Linked DNA regions of Arabidopsis thaliana. The protein of the gene in region 1 purifies or fractionates together with the protein of each later gene. This does not show direct contact. Each region holds a gene or a part of one and is shown in the gene's direction. Other genes may lie near its edges. The genes, in order: UBP14 and AT4G32580.

The links.
Region 2: the proteins of UBP14 (region 1) and AT4G32580 fractionate together in Arabidopsis thaliana (co-fractionation; one large-scale study listed by BioGRID). This does not show direct contact.

The regions. Positions count from the first base shown.
Region 1 is NC_003074.8:7,202,325-7,210,994, reverse strand, and holds UBP14 (ubiquitin-specific protease 14), read left to right. Parts: upstream 1-2,447; 5' UTR 2,448-2,654; coding exon 2,655-2,750; intron 2,751-2,853; coding exon 2,854-3,025; intron 3,026-3,118; coding exon 3,119-3,231; intron 3,232-3,333; coding exon 3,334-3,670; intron 3,671-3,898; coding exon 3,899-3,993; intron 3,994-4,680; coding exon 4,681-4,814; intron 4,815-4,889; coding exon 4,890-4,946; intron 4,947-5,054; coding exon 5,055-5,132; intron 5,133-5,401; coding exon 5,402-5,456; intron 5,457-5,566; coding exon 5,567-5,590; intron 5,591-5,731; coding exon 5,732-5,812; intron 5,813-5,947; coding exon 5,948-6,146; intron 6,147-6,229; coding exon 6,230-6,287; intron 6,288-6,362; coding exon 6,363-6,488; intron 6,489-6,577; coding exon 6,578-6,666; intron 6,667-6,759; coding exon 6,760-6,849; intron 6,850-7,090; coding exon 7,091-7,261; intron 7,262-7,356; coding exon 7,357-7,469; intron 7,470-7,565; coding exon 7,566-7,695; intron 7,696-7,818; and 3 more. Other genes in the region: AT3G20640 (basic helix-loop-helix (bHLH) DNA-binding superfamily protein), read left to right, coding at 192-341. UniProt on the Arabidopsis thaliana protein: Recognizes and hydrolyzes the peptide bond at the C-terminal Gly of ubiquitin. Involved in the processing of poly-ubiquitin precursors as well as that of ubiquitinated proteins. Involved in seed and embryo development.
Region 2 is NC_003075.7:15,718,303-15,722,435, reverse strand, and holds AT4G32580 (Thioredoxin superfamily protein), read left to right. Parts: upstream 1-1,900; coding exon 1,901-2,071; intron 2,072-2,145; coding exon 2,146-2,220; intron 2,221-2,321; coding exon 2,322-2,558; 3' UTR 2,559-2,799; downstream 2,800-4,133. Other genes in the region: AT4G32590 (2Fe-2S ferredoxin-like superfamily protein), read right to left, coding at 136-198, 367-420, 629-742, 828-1,019; TIFY8 (TIFY domain protein 8), read left to right, coding at 3,734-3,980.

The DNA.
Region 1 (8,670 bases):
ATTATACCATTGAATAAACGTATGGCTCTCGTTCGCATTCTTTATTACATGTATTTAATATGGTTGCTTCATCTTTAAGATTGGACAATAAAGCATTATTCCAAGAAACAATGTAGCGAGACGGTTTTTGCAACGAAAAAAGAAATCATTTGCAACTTATATTTTTTCTTTGTTTTCTAATGATGATGCAGAGTGATCATTCCACAGAGCTAGAAGTATCAGAAGAACCAGATCTTAGAAGTCGAGGTTTATGCTTAGTGCCAGTTTCAAGCACATTTCCAGTGACACACGATACTACAGTAGATTTCTGGACTCCTACATTTGGTGGGACTTTTAGATAGATATATAGACGGAAAATCGTATATTAGATGTCGGGTAACGTACGTATCTTTTTTAACTTATAATATATACGTTGATTGCTGATAAGAATCACCGCATTTTTAAACGAAGAGGAGATAAGTTAATGGACAAGTGAAACGTGTTGTCCATTTATACTTCTTATTCATAGAACTAAAAAATAATGTGTAATTGAAGAACCATGCATAGATATATAAGAGCTATTGAGATTTGACATGTATTTTTTCACACGACCAAATTAATTCCAAACATATATCTATAGGTTTTTTTGGGGGGTTATAATAGTTATGTATGAAAGATAGATGTTTTTTTTTTTTTTTTTTTTTTTTTTTTTTAACATTACCTTCATTTATAAAACGAAATCGAATACACACCGCCTCCAAAACGAGTAACACCTACAAAACAACAAAGAAAAGTAAAACAAAGCATATGATCAAATAAAGAGACCGAACCAAGTGGCGAGGTACGATAAACCATTGGGGCCAATACGTTGAGCTCGTGAGAGAGGATCAAGATGAGTGCGAATAAGATTCTTTATCTCCATAATCAGTCCAGCAGCAGGTCTCGAAGAAGAAGTGTGCAGACGAGTGTTCCGTTCCCTCCAAAGAGTATAAACATTGATTCAGAGAAGAATAGATGTTATGTATGAAAGATAGATGTTAAGTTATTCGTTAGAGAAGAATGTAGGGATCTATAATGTAAGTATTGTCTTCATTGATTCAGAGAAGGAGAAAGGTGATTTAATTATGGAGAAAAGGAGCTTTTGTTTCTTCCTTTTTTTAGCTATTCTAATTTTTGAAAGGGAATAATTAGATTCCACGAATAAGAGAGAGTAATGTGTTAATATGCATATTTTGATTGGACAAGAGGAAAAAAATCTTGGGACAGATATATTTTTATAACTTTGGAATAATGTTAGTGGAAGTAAGATATGGCCCACAATGGTTTTTACTTTTATATCAGAAAGGTTCTTTATTGAACACTTGTTAAAGAAAAAAAAAGCATTTCATGCTTCCCAAAAATCCGCCTCCTTACATTTTCATTAAACTGAATTATTGTTTAAAGGGATACGAGTATTTTCAAAAGAGAAATAGTTTTCTATATGGAGAAACTTGTATGGAAAAAAATCGGCTCTGCTATTTTGTTGTCAACAACTCTAGTGGATTTAGGCCTTTTTAACTTCTTATATAGAAATTTGAACCAACACAGTGAGATCTAAGGACATGAAGTTAGATCACTGACCTATCAATTCCAGTTTGATTTTGATATATCATTGTCCGTAAAAAAAATATGAAAAATTTCTAAAATTGAGGTAACTGAAAAAGGTGACTTCTGTTCTCTTTAGAGTATTGTTATCCCGCGATTCTCATTTATACTATTCATCAAATTACCACTAGTTCATGCATAAGTTATACATTGAGTCATTGATAAACGATATATACTCGGACTATTATTAGTATTATAGTTTTCAGCACCACATGTAAAGTTGTCTTGTTTCGTAAATATAGTTTTCGTCGACACTGTTGTGGATGTATTTGATTTTAAATTCTGAGAAATGTACAGACTTGTGATATTCCGTGATTGGAATTGGCCTTATGAAAACAAGACAACTTTAATTAGCTAAGTAGCCCAAAAACACATTAATTAAACAATCGAGTTGAACCAAAACATTTTAGCATGCTAGAAGAACCAAGGAATCTTTGTGGAGTTGGATCTGATTCATCACCATTGTTCATTCTTCATAAATCATAAGCATTCATATATTACATGAACTTTGAATACCTCTTTTTCCCAAGAGTAGACATCCACCTTTTTTTTTTCATTTCAAAAATCATCAAACGATATCCTCACACTTAGTAATTTTCGTGTTGAACAAGAACATGTAAAACCCACATTGGCCACATTGTGATTTATGGTTTCTTCTTTTGATTCATTCTACATCCATGCATATGGGTCAATCAAATAGTCTTGGGTCTATTGGGTAAATACAAACTCTAATGGGCTGTACAATATTCTTTTTGTGTATCCAAACTCTATCCTTAATTTAGAATATTTTCAAAATTAACCCAACAAAAAGTCGGTTAACGAAATTTCCCCAAATTGACAACAACTTTTGCTTTATTGCAATTCTCCCCAAAACCTCAGGCAATAAGAAAGGAATTTAGAAGGACGACGACGTTTCTCATCATCCGTACCTTCCTTGTTAAGTTGTAACGGAGACGTGTGATATCACTCAACAACACATATCTGTCTCTCCGTCGTCAGAGAGTTTCTTTCGCCGATTTCGCAAAAACCCTATGGAGCTCCTCCGATCCAACTTGTCTAGGGTTCAGATCCCTGAACCTACTCATCGCATCTACAAGCATGAGTGTTGCATCTCCTTCGATACTCCGGTAAAGCCTCTCTCTCACTTCGTTTTCTTCTTCAAATTCCGACTACTCTCGACTCTTCTCTCGTTTTCTTCGGTTTTGATGAATTCGCAATGATGATTTTCAGAGATCCGAAGGAGGATTGTTCGTTGATATGAATAGTTTTCTTGCTTTCGGGAAGGATTATGTTTCTTGGAACTATGAGAAGACTGGAAACCCTGTTTATCTTCATATTAAGCAGACTAGGAAGTCTATTCCCGAGGATCGGCCTCTCAAGAAACCGACTCTGCTCGCTATAGGTATATATACAATGATGATTACAATGCCGTATCTATACTGATTTTTGAACATAGAGTCGAGAGATTGGTTTTGAACTGTTAATCAATTTGCAGGTGTTGATGGAGGCTTTGATAACAATGAGCCAGAGTACGAGGAGTCTTATAGCATAGTCATACTTCCGGATTTTGTTTCACTCCCGTTTCCTTCTGTTGAGCTACCAGAGAAGGTGTTTGTTAGCACTATGTTGTTGATTTTAGGTGTGTTATCAGAGAGTGGTTTATGGAAAACACATTGCATGTATTTAGCTTTTTGTGATTTGTTATTGCAGGTGAGGATTGCTGTCGATACTGTAGTGAATGCCGTTGGTGCTGAGCGGAAAGAGCAAGTTGCAGCTTGGACAGCTGAGAAAAAGTTAATTAGTGAACATGCATTGACACTGCAGCAAATCAAGAGTGGCATTGTCATTCCTCCCTCTGGTTGGAAATGTTCTAAGTGTGATAAGACGGAGAATCTCTGGCTTAATCTTACCGATGGAATGATTCTCTGTGGAAGAAAAAACTGGGATGGAACTGGTGGAAACAACCATGCTGTTGAGCACTACAAAGAGACAGCCTACCCTCTTGCTGTAAAGCTTGGAACTATCACTGCTGACTTAGAAGCAGCAGGTAAAGTTGTCTTGTTTCCTTATTCGTAGAACCAGAGATTAGTCATTAAACTTCACTTTTGTGTATGGCTAATATCAGTTGATAGTTGTCTCTTTGGGGTGGATAAGGGGGACTTCCTGCATCACTTTGTTTTTTTTTTTTAATGTTGATGCATGTGGATTATCTTGTTCTTTGGATGGGTTTTGATTTCTTCAGCACTTAATCATTGCAAATTTTTTGGCAGCTCAGATGTTTATTCCTATCCGGAAGATGACAGTGTTTTGGACCCGCTCCTGGCTGAGCATCTGGCCCATTTTGGAATTGACTTCTCGTCGATGCAGAAGGTTAGTAATGATGGTTCATGGTTCTGTTAAAGTATAAAAGTGAAGAGTGGATCTTGTCTGACACTTTATATTGTTGTTTGTCTGTGGTAATGAATTTCGTGTACTGCATTTTTATTAGATACTCAAGCTTAGGTATTCCCATAATGATATGGTTTGTTAAGATACCCATCCTGGGTTGCATTGGCAAGTGCTGGTTGTACTAGAAAGCTTATGTCTTGTGTTCATTTCTTTCTTCAGTATCAATTGCCACAAAACAACTGTAGAAACATGGAATATGTCTGAGACTAAATGTTTCTTTACCAAGAGCAAGTAGACTCACATCAGTGTTATTGCGTACTTTTTTATAATTGCGATTAAAAAGACGCAGTGCACTTGGAGAATGTAATTTCAGGTCGTTTTGAGACAATAATTCCCATTCACGCGTTCAGTCTGTTTACTTGTAATTGTTGCGTCACATGTAAACATTTACAATAGTAAACTGTATTGTGTCTTTTTTCCTCATTTTTCCTTGCTCCATGTACTGCTTAAGTTAAGAGGCTTCATTTCCCAAAGCATAGGTTTTATAGTCACCTGTATTTGTTTTCTTGTTTGTACTGCCTTGATCATCATCTTTGCTAAAGATATCCCATGCTGGTTTTAATCTGAATAATGTTAACTTTCTTGAAATGTTTGCTACAATTTTCACAGACTGAAATGACAACTGCTGAAAGAGAACTTGATCAAAATACAAATTTTGATTGGAACCGTATACAAGAGAGTGGAAAAGAATTGGTGCCAGTTTTTGGACCTGGATATACCGGACTTGTCAATCTTGGGAACAGGTACTCTAATGGAAAAATTGTCAGGGATTTCGTTTCCTTGTTGATGTCTTATGCCCATTTCTTTTCTTTTGCCAGTTGCTACTTGGCAGCTACGATGCAGATTGTTTTCTCTACCCATTCATTTATTTCAAGGTAGATGCCATTGCCCATATTTCTTTTTCACTTATATAACTTAAATCAAAACAAAGCTTTTGCTCTTTGATTCAACTGTAGTAACTTTTGGTTCTGAGATTGTTGCAGATACTTTTCACATCAGAGCTTAAAGATGGCTTTTGAGATGGCTCCTGCTGATCCAACTTTGGACCTCAATATGCAATTGTGAGTTATTGTTAGAAAAAATGTTACTAAGTTTATGCTCTGGACTTTCTGAAATCATGTGATTGAAATCTTGGCATCGTTATGATGAAAGGGTTTTAAGATTATATTTGTGCATACTCTGTATCTGCATGCACGTGCTTTAGTTTCTGTTTTTCTCTCCGTTTGGTTTGATATGCTGTGCACTTTTTCTAACTAATCTGATTTCCATGAGGAATAATTGCATGGTAATTTGCATATTTATTTCATACTCCTTGCACTGTTGGTTGTAGAACAAAGCTTGGACACGGCTTACTATCTGGGAAGTACTCAATGCCTGCAACTCAGGTATAACTATAGTAGGAAATATTTTTGCTTGTATGCATATATATATGTATATGATCTAAACCACCTTTTAGAGCCTCAGTACATTGATTTCGCCTTTCTTCTGATTGCAGAAGGATGCTACAACTGGAGATCCTGTAAGATTTTTATTTGAAGTCCTGTGTTTAACTTTTGAATAAATATATGTATGCGGATGGCCACACTTTTTTTTTTGCATACCCCACTTGTGTTGATTTCTGATGACTTTACATCTTGTTTCGTTTTTTAATCGATAATAGAGACAAGAAGGAATACCTCCTCGCATGTTCAAAAACGTAATTGCCGCGAGCCACGCAGAATTCTCTTCTATGAGACAGCAGGTGAAAACCATGTCTTTTTTAATGTTCGGAGTTTTGTTTATTTTTTAACTTGTATTGGAACGATACTCCTTTTCGGCATCAGTTAACGAAATTATTTTATGTTTTCATACTAACTAGCACCAATCTGTCTTGTAGGATGCTCTCGACTTTTTCCTCCATCTGGTAGGCAAGGTTGAGCGTGCTAGCAACACGACACCAGATTTAGACCCCTCGAGGAGCTTCAAGTTTGGAATAGAAGAGAAGATCCTTTGTCCGTCTGGAAAGGTTGGATATAATAAGAGGGAAGACTGTATTCTTTCTTTGAACATTCCGCTACATGAGGCAACTAATAAAGGTATATCCTGTTCGTCTGTCTATGTTCCTCTTCCTTTATCGTTTGGCGTGTTTCTTAATTTTGCTTAATGTTTGGTGATCAAGATGAATTAGAAGCCTTTCACAAGCAAAAAGCAGGAAAAGGATTGGAAGAGAATGATATGTGAGTCAATGGACTTAAGTTTAAATCTGTTTCATAGTTTCACTGCTTATCTAAGATTTTTTTGTTTATTTTCAGGAGGTCAAGTGATGAAATAGTACGCCCACGAGTTCCTTTAGAAGCCTGTCTAGCAAATTTTGCATCATCAGAGCCGATTGAAGACTACTATAGCTCTGCTTTGAAGGGAATGACAACAGCTATCAAGTAAGATATTGTTTTTTACCGAGTGAATTCTTTTGCAACCAAGATTAGAATGAAAGCAAGGCTTGACTTTTGGTTCCCATTTTATGCAGGACAACTGGTTTGACATCTTTCCCAGATTATTTGGTCTTGCACATGCGGAAATTTGTTATGGAGGAAGGCTGGGTGCCAAAGAAACTTGGTCTCTTTCTTTCTGAAACAATGATCCTTATAATGTTCCCCTATTGTCCCTGTATATAAATACTTATTATCCTTTCTTGATTTACTGTGGCAGATGTATACATTGATGTTCCGGATGTTATTGATATCAGCCACATGCGTAGCAAAGGACTCCAACCTGGGGAAGAACTGTTGCCAGATGGCGGTATGTTGTTATATTTATCACAGGAGTGGTGTGTTCATAATTCACATAAATAATGATTGATTGACTCCATTTATTGATTGTTTCAAACTCGTGGTATCTTTTCTGGTGTCATGACTACTAGCCTTTGGAATTAGCACTCAGTTTCCTAATCATTAAAAAGTATCAGCATCCCTTAAACGGTTTCTTTATGGCACTCAGTCTCCTTATAATTCTGTTGGCTATTGGATTTTTCTGTATACAGTTCCAGAAGAAGTGATGGAATCAGCGCAGCCCGTGGCAAATGAGGAGATAGTTGCACAGCTAGTCTCAATGGGATTTAGCCAGCTTCACTGCCAGAAAGCTGCCATAAATACTTCCAATGCTGGGGTTGAAGAGGCAATGAACTGGTTACTTTCTCACATGGATGATCCAGGTAATTGAAAATAGTTCCACAAGTCTTTAGTTGAGGCTCAACTAAATTACGACTCGAGACCGATTTCTAATATGATGAGGCATTATGTTTCATAGACATCGATGCACCAATCTCCCACCAGACATCTGACATTGATCAATCAAGCGTTGATACCTTACTCTCCTTTGGTTTTGCTGAAGATGTTGCTCGGAAGGCACTAAAAGCCTCGGTATAACACTTTTGAGCAAATTAGTTACATTTCTGCGAGGCTGTTTTTTCTTTACTCATTACTGAAATCGGTTTTGTTTTTTTTGTCTTTAATCAGGGAGGAGACATTGAGAAAGCAACAGACTGGGTATTCAACAACCCTAATGCATCTGTTTCAGACATGGATGTATCCTCTAGCAATTCAGCGCAGACTCCGGCTCAAAGTGGATTACCAGATGGAGGAGGGAGTTAGTTTCTTAAACCCTCTTTTGAGTCTTTCTATCTCATTTTGCAAAACAAATGTTAGTGTTTCGTTTTTTCCACAAAGCAGTATGAATAAAACTCTAACTCAAGATTGATCTTAAATGCAGAATACAAGCTGTTTGGAATAGTAAGTCACATGGGAACATCAGTGCACTGTGGTCATTACGTGGCTCACATATTGAAAGAAGGCCGCTGGGTAATTTTCAATGACGACAAAGTTGGTATCTCGACTGATCCTCCTAAAGACATGGGTTATGTCTACTTCTTTCAGCGGCTTGATTGATTCGATGGAGCCAGTTACAGAGACAAAAACTAATCCTTTTTTTTTTAAATAGAAACTTTTAAGGTCGATAGGGTTTTTAACATTTGGATTGAGGTGACCCATGTGACTAGTTTCGGTTCCAAAATCTTACATGTGGATTAGTAAATTTGGTTCACTTGATGATTTTATCTGTGGAACTTCGTCACAAATTTTAAGACCCGTTTAGAAGCTAAACATCATTCGCTGTCTTTTTAATTTGCCTCCTCAGTTCTCAACTACTTTCAGTTTTTTTTTTTTTTCTTTTGGATAAAAGTTTTGAGCTTTTCCTTCAGTTTTGGCATCATTGGTGCTTAGATTTATGAAAAATGAAGATATAAAAGGGGAATCATAAGTGTTTTTTTTTACATTAGCAGAAAAACTGTTGATTAAAATATTTAATCTCGGGATACACTGAAATTGGAGATCTTTTAATTAGTTTTTAAGATCAAAAAGTGGGCTAATTTGTTATATAGTTAACACTGGCCATCATTATAATCTCGAAGAGAAATAACACGAATTGTTTCTTCTTCTCCAAACACGTGTTCTTCAAATTCGCTCATATTATTCTCGATTCCCACAAACAGAAAAAGAAGATACTAAAAATTATAAAATCCCGATAATAGAATCATGAAATTGTTTCCGTTTATGGGTGTTTTAA
Region 2 (4,133 bases), on another chromosome or scaffold:
ATATATTCACATTTAACCAGAAACAATGCTCAACATTTCATTCATCTTGTTAGTGCACATACCCATTCCAAACACTAGCAATGAGAAACTTGTGAATCTAACAATAATATAGAGAGGAGTGATCAAATAACTAGCCTTTTTCAGGTACCGGTTTTCTGTATCTGTTCTCTCATTCAGAAGATCTCTGCCATCGAGTATCTGCACACAAGAAGACCAAATGTGTATTTTTTTGCTTTGAGTTACTGGTCATCATAAGAAGACCAAACACAAATCTATTTTCCTCCATTGATATCCATGAATGCTAGAACAATCATAGCTCATAAATTCATAATCAGAATCTAATTAACATTGTATGAAGTCACTTGCCTCCACAATGCAAGTTCCACAGCTTCCTCCACCACCACAGTTCATCACTTTCCCCTAATCATCACAAATTGACCAAAATCCAAAGTTTACATAAGCCTTCAACAAACCATCTCCTCACATCAAAATCTAGAACTAAATATTTTCATTGTCTACTAAATTATTCCAGAAACTAGTTCAAACATCAAATCAATCAATGTATTAAGATTGAGAAAATCTGAAGTTAAATTTCGTAATTAAAGAGAGAGAAATCAACATAACTCACGTAAGCAGCGTAGAGTTCAATTTTGTTATCCTGCATAATGCTTCTGAGAAGCTTATCTCCACTCACAGCCTTTGCTTTATCTACCGGATATGACCCGTCGCTACCCGGCTTCGGCTGCAAAGAAAAAAACGAAAAGTCTCTTCTGAGTTTTGAAACGAATTGTATCAATAATCGACGAGAAAATCGCGCCGAGAGTTACACCGAAGAACTCGAGCTCTATCTCAAGAGGCGTCACTGCAGAAATCCCCTGAGGAGATGATGCTTGAGAAGAAGAAGAAGAAGAGCTGTTACAGGAGATTACGCGAGCTCTTCCACCTCCGGAAACTTTTCGATGCTGCTGAATTTGTGCATTGGAGAAGGTGAAGCCGAGGTTGAAACCTAACGAAGCCATTTCTTCCGGCTAAATCTTCCCGTGTTAGCTTCCGATCTCCGGCGACTTTGGTACGAAGATTCCAGAAACTAAAGCTAAACCACGAATTTAATTATGTGGACTTCATCTTCTACATGTTATAAGGCTTTTTGTCTCTGTTGTTAACCCATTAACAAGCCCATTTAACTTATTTTCAATTTATATCTTCGACTTATCTTTAAATTATAAATTGAAAAGACGTTAAGTGGGCCTTTTAGTGCTAATTTTTTCAAGCCCATTTAACTTATTTGAGTCTTGGAATATTTCACTTGGAAAACAATGCGCTAATTCCATCTCCTATAATTTCCCTGTATATATTTTGAGAAGATGGATGGATTGAGCAATTTTAAAGACAAATATTTATGTAACTAAAAAATTATTCTTAACTTTCTGATGATTTATGTCTGAGGGAAGCATCTAGTATGCATTGTTTCTGTTTCATGTGAGATAAGCAAGAAAAGTAAGTGGGAAACAAGAAAGCAGAACAGTGAGATTACCAATTGTGCAAACAATCATATCATATAGTATACTTTGTTCGCCATCTTACTGTCACTTAAACAACAAAATTCACTATCATCGTTTAGCGGATTATTTTCAACTATATAACCCAGTAAAAGATAGTTTACTTGTCATGTGGTATATTTGACAGTTATCAAACTTTTGAGAGTTTGTGACACGTACGATACAGACACAAAATCAAATCTCCCTCTCCGACCATTTTTTTTTCTTAGTTACATAAATCTCTTTTCCTTCTCCAGCAACAGAAGAATTCTGCTCGATAATAGATTGGTAATCACAAAAAGAAAAGAAAAAGTGTTGGAGATCCTTCCGAGAGAGACGCGACATCTCCTTCCTCTTCGAAGATGAGTGGTACTGTGAAGGATATCGTTTCAAAGGAGGAGCTTGATAACTTGCGCCACAGCGGAGCACCACTCGTGCTTCACTTCTGGGCTTCTTGGTGTGACGCTTCGAAGCAGATGGATCAAGTTTTCTCTCATCTCGCTACTGATTTCCCTCGTGCTCACTTCTTTAGGGTTCGTCGTCTCTGTTCGAATTTTATCTCTTTCAATTGGTTTTTGACTTTGATTGGTTTTATTTATCTTCTTAGGTAGAAGCTGAGGAACATCCTGAGATATCTGAGGCTTATTCTGTTGCTCTTGTGCCGTATTTCGTCTTCTTCAAGGTAAACTTTAGGCATATTGATTCTTTGTTTGGTTGCAATTTTTTGGCTTATTGACAAAGCTTGAATCTTTGTCACTGCACTGAATCCTTTTCTTATTGAAGGATGGCAAAACTGTGGATACACTTGAAGGGGCAGATCCATCAAGTTTAGCTAATAAAGTTGGCAAAGTTGCTGGTTCTATTACTCCTGCAAGCTTAGGGTTGGCTGCAGGGCCAACGATTCTTGAAACTGTTAAGAAGAATGCGAAAGCTTCTGGACAAGACCGAGCTCAGCCTGTATCTACCGCTGATGCTCTCAAGAATCGTTTGGAAAAACTCACCCTGTTATGTTATTCATGAATGGTACTCCTGAAGAGCCTCGATTTTTAATATCTATTGAGTACTTTCTTTATAGTTGGAATTCTTGTGGATATATATCAGGTAGCTACTTGGAGCAAACATGTTGCTAAAGTTGACCTGCTACTGTTGTTTGAAGAACACGTGCTATGTCTTGTCGTTGAAGGAATTATGTTCATATGGGAAGAACATAAGCCTACTGGAAAGTTTACCCCTAGCTCTATTGTTAACCCAGATACTTGAGCCTCCATATCACAAACATCTAGTTAAGGTTTGTGTAGTAAGAACAAGAAAAACAACACGTGTTCCCAATTCCCATATAAATGACCATTATACTTCTATCAACCCAATTAATCACAGTCCGGAGACTAGTTGATTAAAAAATCAGCTAATACTAATTTGGTGGTTTCAATAAACATCTTAAATACTCCATAATTAAACTAGATTAAAGTGGGAAAAATCGTCATGAGTAGTTGTAAAATCGATTTCATTTAAGAGTATAGAAATTCGTCATGAGTGGTTGGTTCATGAGTTCTCTCTCTTACTCATATTAGAGTAAGAAATCAAACACTTATAATCATTCAAAATTCAACAACTCTCATCTCAAAACCATATATTTAGGTAAAGTTATATGCATACATTTTGCATTTTAATTTTAAAACAGATTATTTGGCGCGTAATGATAAAATTATGTGTATAAAAATTATTTAACTAATCGATCTAACAACCACATATGAGTAAAGTAGTTAACATTGTACTACTACACCAAATTATAGTGTGTTGGTTAGATTAGATACACAAACTCACTTTCTCAAATCAATAACATTATGAATCTATGATAACCTTAATTTAAAAAGAGTCTATAATGCCATGATTTTACAATCGTACTTTTTTCTTTTGGGCTGAACTTTTAATCATATATTATTTGAAAGATGTGATTATTATAATATTAAAGGGAATTAAAATCATGTAAGAGAAACCCAATAAAGTAGCTTGAAGAAGAAAAAGACAAGCTTTATTATACACTTACCCAGAAAAACAAAAAACAAAAAACTGATAATATCTCTCTCTCTCTCTCTCGTTGAGTGTGTCCATGAAATAATACTCTGCCAGAGACAGAGAGAAAGACTGTAACGGAGGATGTGGTGGCGAAGTGGCCACACTGACACACTGGTTTCATGATGGTGAACCACAACAATGGCCAGCGACCCACTGATATTGATTCTCGTCTCCGACAGACAGAACAAGATAAGCTCTTGTTCCATGACTTTTTAGGCTCCAAGAATCCTACTTTAGCATCCACTTCCATGGCTGACCATAGGCTACCACCGGATAATAAGGCGGCTAAAGCGGCGATGACTCCTTCCACGGCTTCTGCTTCCTCCGCCGGTGGACTCGGCGGTCTCTCCTCAACCTCCGATCTCGGTTCTGCTCTGTCTCTCTATCTCTCTCTCCTGATGTTTTTGTTGTTGTTGACGTAGTGTGCTTACGCTGATGAGGTTTTGAGCTGATTCCTCTGTACATTTAGGGTTTCTATCTATAGAAAGTTCAACTTTTGTTACATAGATTCGATTTAAA